3 linked regions of the Drosophila melanogaster genome follow. The protein of the gene in region 1 interacts with the protein of each later gene in a pairwise test. Each region holds a gene or a part of one and is shown in the gene's direction. Other genes may lie near its edges. The genes, in order: Rcd4, CG6497 and e(r).

Region 1 (3,300 bases):
AGAAGTTGTCCTTCATGCTGCCCGGCAGGATGTGTTCCGGTTTCAGGCCCAAGTCCAGCCACATTTGCTTGCACTCCAGATCGGGCTCCAGACCGCTGGCCGCGTCACCACCAAAGTAAGTCACATACAGACGATCCTTGGGTAGGGCGAGTCGCTGCGTGAGAAACTCCCAGGCCCAGGAGCAGATCTCCTTCTTAAAGTAGTCACCGAAGGACCAGTTTCCCAGCATTTCAAAGAAGGTGTGATGATAGACATCCTTGCCCACGTCGTCCAGATCGTTGTGCTTGCCACCGGCGCGAATGCACTTCTGCGTGTTGGCCACGCGCACCCACTTGGACATTTCGCTGTTGGGATCAGCGGTGCCCAGAAAAATGGGCTTGAACTGATTCATGCCGGCGTTGGCGAACAACAGCGTGGGATCGTCCAATGGAATCGTGCTGGACGAGTGAACATAGATGTGCTTCTGCTCCTTGAAGAAGTCCAGATAGGCGTTGCGCACCTCCTTTGCTGTGAGTAACTTCATATTGCTGGTTCTGCAAAGGACAAATCGTGAGTGTAAACGTTGCCACGCGACAATTGGGGCTCCCTAACCCCTTAAAACGGCCACAAATCGGAGCAGTGAAAGTGCACTTTGCACAGTACGTGACAAAGTTATACAATTTGGAAGCGAATTGAATCAAAAAACGTTTACTTGTTTATTTTTCGTATATGTAAATAGACCACACTGGTACCTAACCAAAACAAGTTATGTATTACTCACGTTTCAAACAGTAAATGCAAATGCAAACAATTTCGTCAGCCGACTGCAGCAACGTGTGAGATTGGCTCGATAGACAATGCGGCAAACTGGATGAGATATCGATAGATTTAGAGATGGCATAATGAAGAAAATAATTTTTTTATATTTAAAATTAAGTCCACTTGCTTAATTTACATTAATTGCACTCTAGAACCCTCCAGATATATGTAAAAAATCACAAATTTTAAAAAATGCATTTAGAATAAGCTCTTAAATGCGCCTCTATTTGAGCTAGTTAACAATGTGTAACAATTAAAAGTCCATTCGCTGTGGCAAGTGTTCCTCCTCCACCTGGTGCTCGATCTCCCTCATGCGTAACATAAGTTTAAAGTTCTGCTTGTCCTCCTGGCCAGTAAGGAACATGGTTAGCAGGGCCTGCAGGCCGATTAAGGTTCCTAAGGCTGGGACAATGGGGCGTGTAAATTTCCGCCACAACAGAAACACTTCTCTGGGATTTTCCGTAATCGAGGGAATACGGTACGTGTAGCAGCGGGTTGCGAACAGAAATGCGGCGAATGGGGCCAGAATTGTGGGATATACGATGCCCAGACTTGTCTGAAAGGCAGCACTGCGCATCTGGATGCACACCGGGCACTCGCCCAGCGGATTTAGTAGGATGGGCCGCTGAATAAAGAACTTGTGCGCCAGCATGGTAAATATGGCGGGAACGGCGACAATCGGGAGGTAAGTGGACAATCGACCATGTCCTCCAAGTCGCAGCTTGGTGCGATAATGATTATTTATGTAGGCGCCCGTTCCCGCAGCCAAAGCACTCAGAATTCCGGGCGTGTAGCGCAACGACCATCTACAAGGCAATATTTTGATCGCTTGTTAGGTAAGCGGCAACTTTAGAAGGCTTCATGCACTCACACTTCGCCTATTTTGTCCCAGGAAGTTATAATCTTCCATTGGTATTTGAGGGCCTGATCCTCTGTTATGACCACCGCGTCCCTGGGCAGTTCGTCGGGCTTGGCGCGTGATAATGCCATTTTTCATTAATTTATCAAAATATTTGGTTCTCAGAAAACAGCTGCTTATGGGTCAGTGTTGTATAAGTCCCGAACCGGTGTGAGAATGTTGAATACAGTGGGTATCGGAAAAAGGTCTCGGAAAGTAACGCGAAATTTACAGATGATGACATATCAGTGCTGTTAAATGGTCAAATCAGTGTTGCGTGCTGTTTTATATCAGAGGCGAATTGAAGTGTACTACCATAATTCTTGCGAGTCTGCTTAAAATGCCTCACAAACGTAGGAACCGAGTACATGCGAACCAAAGGAATTTCACAGCGCGACGCGTTTCTGTGGCCAAACTGTCGTCTGCACCGCCGAATGTGCTCGTCGAATCCTGCAACGGTTCTCATGCGGATAACAGTTCGCCGGACAGTCCGAAAGCCAAAGAAGGTGCAATGACCAACGGGAAAAACCCGGAGATCAAGTTAGCCGTGCCCAAATGCAACACCACCGTGCGCAAGCAGAACGAGGCCCATATCATATCCAACATTAAGCTGGATATGAACCTTAATAAGGATTCTAACTTTATCGCCCCACAGGTTAATTAAGGTTTTCAATTATGTATACTGTTTTATAATAACATATTCTGTAACTACCCCAAAGATCACCAAAAAGATGAACTTCGCTCCGAATCGTGTTGTATTCGGGGTCCTGGTGCCTCTCAATGTCAACGATTCTGTGCTGGTGCCGCACAATAGAAAACCGGATGCCTTAAAGCACACATCGAAAGAATCGGAATCATGCAAGGCCATAAGCGAGCCCCAGCTAGCCGACTATGCGGAGAAAGTAGATCCCATGATCATGGCTGTTAAGGAACCAGTACTCCACTTGGATTGGGAACCAGGACCCTTCGATTTTTTCGGCGCATATAGGAGAACATACAATTAGAGTTACATTTTATTTATAAATATATCCGAGAATATCAGAATGTTTGTAGCTTTGTTAACCGATGAAGTTCATGACCACCAGATGAAGGATCACATGAGCGAAGATGAAGTCGGCGAAACCGCGTTCCGGCGAAATGCCGGCAAACACGCTCTTGTTCTGGGGATTGGCCTGCAGGCGTAGGCACACTGCCAGGACGAAACAGCTGACGGTGCTGATGAAACCAGATAGGAAGGAGTTGAACGGGAAGGTTCCAACCAGGCAGCAGTAAACAAACTGGATGATGCCGGTGAGCAGAATGTAGCCGAGGTAGATGTCCACCAGCTTCAGTTTCTTGGGCGTATTCTGCACGTAGTCGTTGTAGAACTTGGAAATGACGCTCGACAGCTCCACCATTTTGCTATTTTATGTGATATTTGTCCGGATATTTAAGGATAAAGGCGCTTTTTAACAAATTAATCGCAGACACGTCACAAATTGGGAGAGAACTCAAAAGTAGGACCGTTCGTCTAGTTTGAAAATAATACTGATAGCTTTATCGATGAAGGCGCAAGTACAGTGGGCACTCAATACCTTGAAGTTTAATAAAGAATAGGTTTATAT
Region 2 (3,927 bases), on another chromosome or scaffold:
TGGTGGCTGGCAAAGGGGGTGGCAAGGACGGCGGCGGTTGGCGTAGTTACAGTTTTGCCCATCGAATGGTTTTCCCCGCGCTCCTTGGTGCGGTTGTGGTTCGTTGCTTGGTTATCGCCAGTGCCACTACTCACACAGCCGAAGACCACTGCCTGCACCACTACGAGTGCAGCGGCAACTGCAGATGCACTCGGAAAAATCGGATAGAGCTTCCGTTGATTGATGCGTATTGAAGCAAAGTAGAATGTTTTTTTCGGTCTTGAGACCCTAAGTTATGGTCTTGAAAGAGACAATTTCCAATCAGCTTGTATCTACCTAAGGCAACTATGAAGTAAATAAAAATATATTCTAAATATACCTCATTTCTTTTAATAAAAAAAAATTAACATAATTAATTAATTAACAAAAATTAATGAAATATATAATAACACAATTTATAAGGCACACCAAATTTAATGTTTTCTTTTCGTGCCTTTAATTTGAGTTTTACTTATGAAATGTAGTTGAAAGAGTGCATTATGTGCCTATAATTTGTATAAAAGGTGAAAGCTATGAAAATATCTCACTGTCAAATATTAATTGTTTTAATAAGAAAGCACTCGATTTTTGCAAGTGCGAACCTAGCAGAAGCAGCAACAACTACTTGGGTGCTGTCGGTGAGCCTGTTTTTTAGTGCCTTCCGTAACCATTAAATTTTACGTTTTTATTAGCGCGCACACACACACATACACAGACACAGACACACTTACGCGGAGGAAGGAGGAGGAAGAGGCCGAGAGTTGGCAGATAGGCCGTCCCCACCCACTGAACTCTACCGCCCACTACCGCCCACTCCGCCAACCATTTTTGAATATTTCCGTTTTGGCTGGCAGTTTTCGGTTTTCGGCTTGTCTACAAAATGCAGTTTTGCATGCACTTTGGCCTCGGCGCAAAAAGTCAACCGAAAAGAGACAATAATAAGTGCAGAGCACAAAAGGACGAACCCGAAAAAAGGGAAAGAGCAGCATAAAACGTCGAAAAAGTAGAGCCAAGAACATGAAAACGGAAAATTGCATTGCGCTCAGAAGTATGCTATGCTTTTTTCGCTTGCCTTATCAACGTCTCAAATCGGTTAGGGTTGATAGGAAAAGCGGAGGGGCGCAAGCGGGTTACTGGCAAAACTTAGTCCAGATAGCGAAATGTTGTCGCCCAACAGGACCTGGACGTATTTTACGTATTTTAGTTGCCTGCAGCACACGCAAAAAAAAATGAAGAATACAATGCAACCCAAAGACTTTAAGACAGTTCGAGTTGCAGTCGTGGGCGGTTCCATGCGAGTTGTGGCCACTGAAATTGGTTGCATGTTTCAGGGGAACAGACCTTTACCACATGAGTGCTGTTCAAAACTGCTCAAACCTTTACAGACAACACCAATAAAGCTCAATCCCTTCAGGCCAAACAAGTTCGACCCAGCCTCGTCGAGCTCGCAACTTGTTTGGCATCCACAACATTTGGTTGCAGGGTGAACGGGCTAAAAAAAAACTCTTATACTTTTGAGTAAAACTCAATTTCAATCCAATTCAATAGCTCATTCAAATCAGAGCAATTTAAAGACCATAATAATACTGCAGAATTAATAGTTTCATTTTTGAATAGAAATAAAGAGATAATCAGAGAACGAGAGATATAGAGATTATAAATGTTCATATGGCCAATTCAATGCGTGAGTTTGTTTTATATTTATTAAAAAAATTACAAAATATTAAGAACTTAACCTAATCAAGTATAATCACAGACAAATGCCACATAAGAGGCTTGTTAAAATCGTCTTTCATTTTGCATTACTCCGAACTAAGTAGACTAATTGTATGGATCAACCTTTCGGAACATAAGTACCAAAATTAACCGAAACGAAAATTCAAACCCAGTCGGACTCATCCCCTACCAGCCAGGAACCATACACCGAAAAAAGAAGGAACCAAAGGACACAGGACATAATGGAGCTGTGGCAGAAGCTACGAGTGCAGTTTAATGACTTCTTCCACGCGAACTACCCGTACATAGCGCTCTACAGCGGACTGGGCGTGGCAGTAACAGCCTACTTGCACTACCAATGGAGCGTGCACCACTACGACCTCATGTACTGGAAGCGTTTGGCGGAGGTCTTCTCGCAGGACATCGACTGCATCCAGCTGGCTATACTGCTCTTGATCTTCGCGATCAACGCCATTTTCGTATTCATCATCCTGAGCGTCTATCTGCGCCCAGCCCTCGACAATGGCAGTGAGATGTCCTTGCTGGAGATCAAGGATCGCTATGCCCGGTTCATACTGCTCCGCCTGATAGCCCGTCTCGATCGCATACAGTCGAAGATCTCAGCGAAGCGTAAGAGCCTCACCTTCCAGCACTATGTGAGGGCACACACGAACATGGTAAAGGCGGTGGCCGTGTTCCGCAAGGATGCACGCAAGCTAATCCTGCCGAATGAGAGCGAGATCCTGATGCCCATCGAGGACATCTACGGGGTGGCTGATGACGAAGAACGACTGCTTCGGCGATCGGGCTACTACAAGCTGATCATCGACACCACCGACGAGACGGTCAAGTCTCTGTTCAACGCCAAGCTGGAGGAGATCCTGTTCCCAACCAGCTAGACGACTCGGCGGTTCCGATTGAAACTTTGAGTAAACTGCAGTCCAACACTAATTGCCTTTATCTACTCTGCCAGAGCCGCAGCTCCGAGGGCCCCTTCTTAAAGCCGTTTTATTGTTTCAATTGTTTGGCTTGGCAGCTTTTTATGGCCGCATTGTGCGCCGGGCCAACAATAACAGGCCAGTCGGAGACTGTCAGCCGTCCCCAACCCCCAATAACAATAATGGCAAAAGAAACAGCAGCAGAAACAGCAGCAGAAACAGAAGCAGAAGCAGTTGCAGAACCAGACCAGAACTAGAAACAAAACTCCAACGAGGAACAGAGACTAAACTAAAATGCCAGCCCATGTCTGCACAGCTCAAAACAATATCTAATGTTGTCTACGGCAAAATATTTTGCAAAGCGTCTTTTTGTTTTGCCCGATTTCTGTGTCCTTCAGGCCTTTGTGTGTCGACTTTTCTTTAAAATTAGCTAAAAGGTTGTGTAAATTTAACTGAAAGTGGGATAGCAGTGAAAGAAAAGCGTTGCAGGGGATAAAGGATTCTTGGAATGCATCGTGGGTACGAAAAGCAACAAGGGCGACTAGGAAATATAAATAAATTTTCTTATGGGATGATATCTAACTAAATTACATTTTCGGATGGCATGAAGTGGACTAGAGTCCGCAGTCATTAGTGATTTAATCTAGAAAAAGAGGGGAAGAACCTTTTAGGAGGAGCGTCAAATTAGCATCAATAAAATTGGGCAATAATAAATTAAATTCATAAATTCAAACACTCAACAAAATTATATAATTGACTTTTTTGGTTTGTGGTCGTACGTGCGGGCATGACAACAATCTGAAATAAAGATGCATAAATTGTTAATCTGTTTAACAGTATCTTAAGTAGTTGTAGTTCTTGATCTAATAGTACCCGATATCTCGTCGTTCATACGGACAGTCAAACGGACAGTCAAGCGGACATTGTCAGTGATTCTGACTTTATAGTGTTACATACTTTACAACTAATCTACAAGATCTAAATGTTCGAATTTTTATGTCAGTTAAAAAAAGCGTCGAGACCTATTAATTTGTAAACGAAATTGTTAATTATCTTTTTGATTGTAATACGTTATTGTACAGATTGTTGTCGTGCCATTCAAGTCTCGCAGTTAACCATTTAAAATTCACATCCTTTCATTTGCTTCAACTCGATTTCCGCAGCTGCTGCTGTTGCTCACAAAATACAACTCATATCCTTGCCAATGACTTCAAAGCAGCGCATGCTTCGCTGCGCGCCAAAAAGTAGACAACAA
Region 3 (4,430 bases), on another chromosome or scaffold:
ATACGATAATTAGTATAATATTTAAACAATGCGCAGTCAGGAGAAATATAGAATGGCTTATCAATTTTAAAATAAAACTAACGGAAACAGTAATATTGTACATATTTCAGTTTCAACTCAAAGCATAAGTTTCTCTGTAGCCAAGACACCATTTGGTAAGTTAAGAAAACTATTAAGTGGACGTTTTTTTTTTTACCTTGATTTTGCCATTGGTCGCCGAGAACATTGAGATTTCGAGATTTCAGCGATAAGAGATGAGCAACAACACAAATCAAATAGAATGCACAAGAAACACAGATACAACACCCACACATGAATGATCGTGCAACGGTGTGCGCAGAACAGTGAAGAGGAAGCAGAGAGACGAAGCAGAGGCGACAAATTGGACACGCGTGCGTCGCGTTGGTTGGATTTTGTGTTTTCTTATTTGACTATTGCCTTTTCGGTGCTACTTTAACGGGTTTCCCCGTTTCACAGCCTTTATCATCTTATTTTCGCAGGGCTTTTTTGCTTTTCAATTTACTGCCTGGGTTTCATTTAACTTCGCTGCTCTTCTACTTCATTCATTATTTGATTTGTTTACGTTGCTATTTCCCAATTTGTTTGCTTCTTTTCACTTCATTTTCTTTCAATTAGGACGCACACAAACACACAGGAAAAAACAAAAAAAAAAAAAGAGAGACACGAACGCCACTTGCACAATTGAAAATAACAACAAATTAATGGGAACGCGCGAAACACGGGCTGCTGCGGCTGCGCCTTCACTTTTCACTAAAACAAAAAGCACGTAAATAATGTTGAGACGAGATTTTGCTTTTTGTTGTTGATTTCTTTGCCGATCGCTCTGCCGCCGCTCGACTGCGCTGCCCGCGACACCGCGCTCTTCCAATTGGTCCAATTGAGATCAAACAGCTGGTGGGCACTCGGATCTTCGATTGCCGCTGTCTGGCAGCACTGGGAACAGTGAGAACAGTGGCCAGACTGCGGAGCTGGCGATGGGCGATAGTTTTGTTTCATTAAAAGTAACTTTTGACTTTATATTAAATACAATACTAAAAAATGTAAAAATATGCTTTTTAATATGCACTTTAAGTGAAAATGATTGTACATTAAGTTTACTTCATAAAGACTTTAATGACCATAATTTGTTGATGGGCGTTAATTTTATTCTAACTTAAATAAACGTAATACCTAATATTTATATGTAATAACAAAATAAAATGAACCTAAATAAATAATGCAATCCACTTTAATTTGACATTATAATTATAATTTTTTTATAAATATATAAAATAAAAATAATAAATAAATAATTTCCGTAGTTATTGTAATGTATTACTATGATGAGTATATGTTAAAAGCTTTAGTTAATTTTATTTAAAAAATCTGAAGACTAAATATGGAATGAATTACGCCAAATGAAATGAAAATATGCATTGAAAAACATGCTTTATACCTAAAGGCGTAATATACATAAAGTGTGCTTTTCAATAAAAAAGTGAATGAACATAATATGGAATCAAATACATATACAAATTGAAATGCAAGTATACATTGATACAATTAAGTATAAAAAATCACAATTGTCATTTAATTTGGTAAATATTATTAAACAATGTATATCAAATAAAAGATGTTAGTATTAATCGATATCTTTCGATTATTTTGTCACGGCGAGGCACGCAGCGAAGCGCTCATCTCTAGCTTCAGCCTCCTCTTCAAAACCCATAGAACTGGCAAAATAAAAAAAAACGAATCAAGCGCTGATTTTACCGAATCTCTTTACTGAATCAGCATATTATCATAGTCCATATAGTCCGGCGTTCGAACGGGTAAGTTGAACACTAAACGGGAGACATGGGAATTATTTAAAATTCGAGAAAAATCGGTGAAAAGGAAGAAAAACAAGTGATTGCATACAGTTAGTTACACACACGCGGCGGCCGTTACTCCTTGTACATGTGTGTGCGTGTCTGTTCGCGCTTCCGAATGTTTGTGTTTTAGTGAAGCGGCATAAGCGTGCATTATCTTGTACAAATGTACGCATTTCTCCATTGCCAACATTCGCTTCACACACAAATTACTCGTTTTCCATGCTGGAAGTGCCATCTTAGTCTATTTCCCAGTTGCAAATTGGAAAATCAAAGAGCGTTCTGCTGGCCAGCATGTGTGGTGCGCGTGTATTGGTGTTGCGGCGAGAGCGCGAGCGAGATGGGGCGATGCGTTGCATGCGGCAACAGCATATCTCTTCCATCTCTTTCGTTTTTGTTCTTTTCCTTTTTTTTTTGTCTTTTTTTTTTTTGCTGACAGCTCTCTATGCTTCTAATAAATATTTATGCACAATTTTTGCAGAGCTGGCGAAGTAAACTTCAACTTCGAGAGTCTCGGAATCTTTCGGACTTTGCTATAGAAAAAACGCTTGTTAAAAAAAAGGATGTAAGTGATGAAGATGAAACGTAATGTAATGAAACGCACACTAGTAACATACATACATACATATCGCTTGAGTACATAGATCACCGCCAATAACATTAATGTTCCATTTTTGCCTTGCAGATCACCATGTCGCACACCATCCTATTGGTACAGCCGGGTGCTCGTCCGGAGACCCGCACTTACTGTGACTACGAGAGCGTCAACGAGTGCATGGAGGGCGTGTGCAAGATCTACGAGGAGCACCTGAAGCGCCGCAATCCAAACACTCCGACCATTACGTATGACATTAGCCAGCTATTCGATTTCATCGACACAATGGTGGACATTAGCTGCATGGTTTACCAGAAGAGCACCAATACCTATGCGCCCTACAATAAGGATTGGATCAAGGAGAAGATCTATGTGCTGCTCCGTCAGGCGGCATTTAGTTCCAATACCTAAAGGGACGGCGATGCGACAAGATACATACATATAAAACCAAATAACACGATGATGCATGCATCAATGCGTGCAACACTAACGACAACAACACGTTGATGTATGCAACAATGCGTGCAATAGCAACTACAACAACAACAACAATACGAGGATACATGCAACAGCGCTTGGAACAGCATCCGCAACGGCCACAACACCATAACACCAATAACACCAACAAGATGAGGAAGAAGAAGAAGATGATGATGGAGTGGTGGGGCATCGATTCCATTGGAGACTTGCTGCTACCGACTAGATCGCCAAATGACAGCAACTTTTTTTTGCAACATAACGCAATGCAAAAAAGGAAAAGGAACACAAAGAGAACGATAAACTGTATAACTTAGAAATGGAAAACTTACTTTAAACGTACTAATATATATATATATATATAAATATATATATAGGCGTATATATATATATATACTGTATATACACCCAACTGACAACTGTGTGTGTTTTTGTGTGTTTCAATGTTTTTTTGTGCGGCAGCCACAGGTGACGGTTGTTCTTATCGATAGCGAACTGTATGTTTGTTTGTTTGTAAAACCGAATGGCAAATTTGCAAGTGTGCATTTTTTTTTTGTATGTTTTGCCGTGTGTGCTAGCTTAAGTCTTTGCAATCTATCGAATAATAAACTAACACATCAGGACACACTGAGCATATATAAACATATTTGTAAACTACTGATTCCCCCCCCCCCCCTTTATCATTTGAACTTAGTTAAACAACAACTTTTAGCCCGCTGATTTTGCACACCGATGGGCTTTGTGGCGTTTTAACGGCTTGTTTTAAGCAAAACAGAACCTTTGGTCGCAGATGCGAAATGACCTTGAGATGCTGGTTGTTGTGTGTGTGGTGAGGGGGGAGGGGTAGGGGTTTGTGGGTTGTACCCCCGCCAGATATTCAATCGGATAACGAACTTGGACCGCCGCTGAATCGCTTGGCCGCACTGCATTGAACTTGGCGTGCGATATTTAATTAGCTCCGCGACAGCATTTTGTTAAATATATATATATATATATATATATATGTATATATGCACATTTAGTGTCGACTTGTGGATGCTGCTTACTAGCGTTAACTAGCAATAAACATAGTGTTTATAGTTTACCCATTATATTTGCTGAATATTAATGATCACTAGATTTCTCATTATTCAGACAAATATATTTGTTTGTGAAAAAAGCATTTGCTACAGCAAACTGTACAGTTTATTACAAAAATATGTATATATATTTTCAAAAAAAAAAAAAAAAGAATTTCTCCTATTTAAAGTAGTTTGCTTGCCACGCAACTCCGCGCTTTTTACAGGGTATGCAATAGCGCTACAGCTGCGTCGAATATGGTGCATAGTTTTTTTTTTTAGAATATTTTTCAAAACTGGTTTTAAACACTGCATTGTCGCCACACCGCCCCGCACCGCCCACTTTCAATGTCAGTTAGCCAGCCTCGCTTTTTGGCCAGAAAGCAAAGCGAATGGGATGCAGATGAAGTGCATCCTGCATGAGATGCA

The links.
Region 2: the proteins of Rcd4 (region 1) and CG6497 interact in a two-hybrid assay, tested with the Drosophila melanogaster proteins (one large-scale study listed by BioGRID).
Region 3: the proteins of Rcd4 (region 1) and e(r) interact in a two-hybrid assay, tested with the Drosophila melanogaster proteins (one large-scale study listed by BioGRID).

What each region holds. Positions count from the first base shown.
Region 1 is NT_033779.5:8,380,920-8,384,219, forward strand, and holds Rcd4 (reduction in Cnn dots 4), read left to right. Parts: upstream 1-1,941; 5' UTR 1,942-2,036; coding exon 2,037-2,351; intron 2,352-2,415; coding exon 2,416-2,700; 3' UTR 2,701-2,738; downstream 2,739-3,300. Other genes in the region: AlaRS (Alanyl-tRNA synthetase), read right to left, coding at 1-523; CG13392 (uncharacterized protein), read right to left, coding at 1,052-1,604, 1,670-1,788; Dad1 (defender against apoptotic cell death 1), read right to left, coding at 2,755-3,093. UniProt on the Drosophila melanogaster protein: Participates in the later stages of centriole assembly through the interaction with Ana3 leading to the centriole to centrosome conversion in somatic cells.
Region 2 is NT_037436.4:17,251,873-17,255,799, reverse strand, and holds CG6497 (uncharacterized protein), read left to right. Parts: upstream 1-1,862; 5' UTR 1,863-1,976; coding exon 1,977-2,633; 3' UTR 2,634-3,423; downstream 3,424-3,927.
Region 3 is NC_004354.4:8,903,511-8,907,940, reverse strand, and holds e(r) (enhancer of rudimentary), read left to right. Parts: upstream 1-1,692; 5' UTR 1,693-1,832; intron 1,833-1,950; exon of another isoform or gene 1,951-2,172; intron 2,173-2,352; exon of another isoform or gene 2,353-2,436; intron 2,437-2,556; 5' UTR 2,557-2,562; coding exon 2,563-2,877; 3' UTR 2,878-3,797; downstream 3,798-4,430.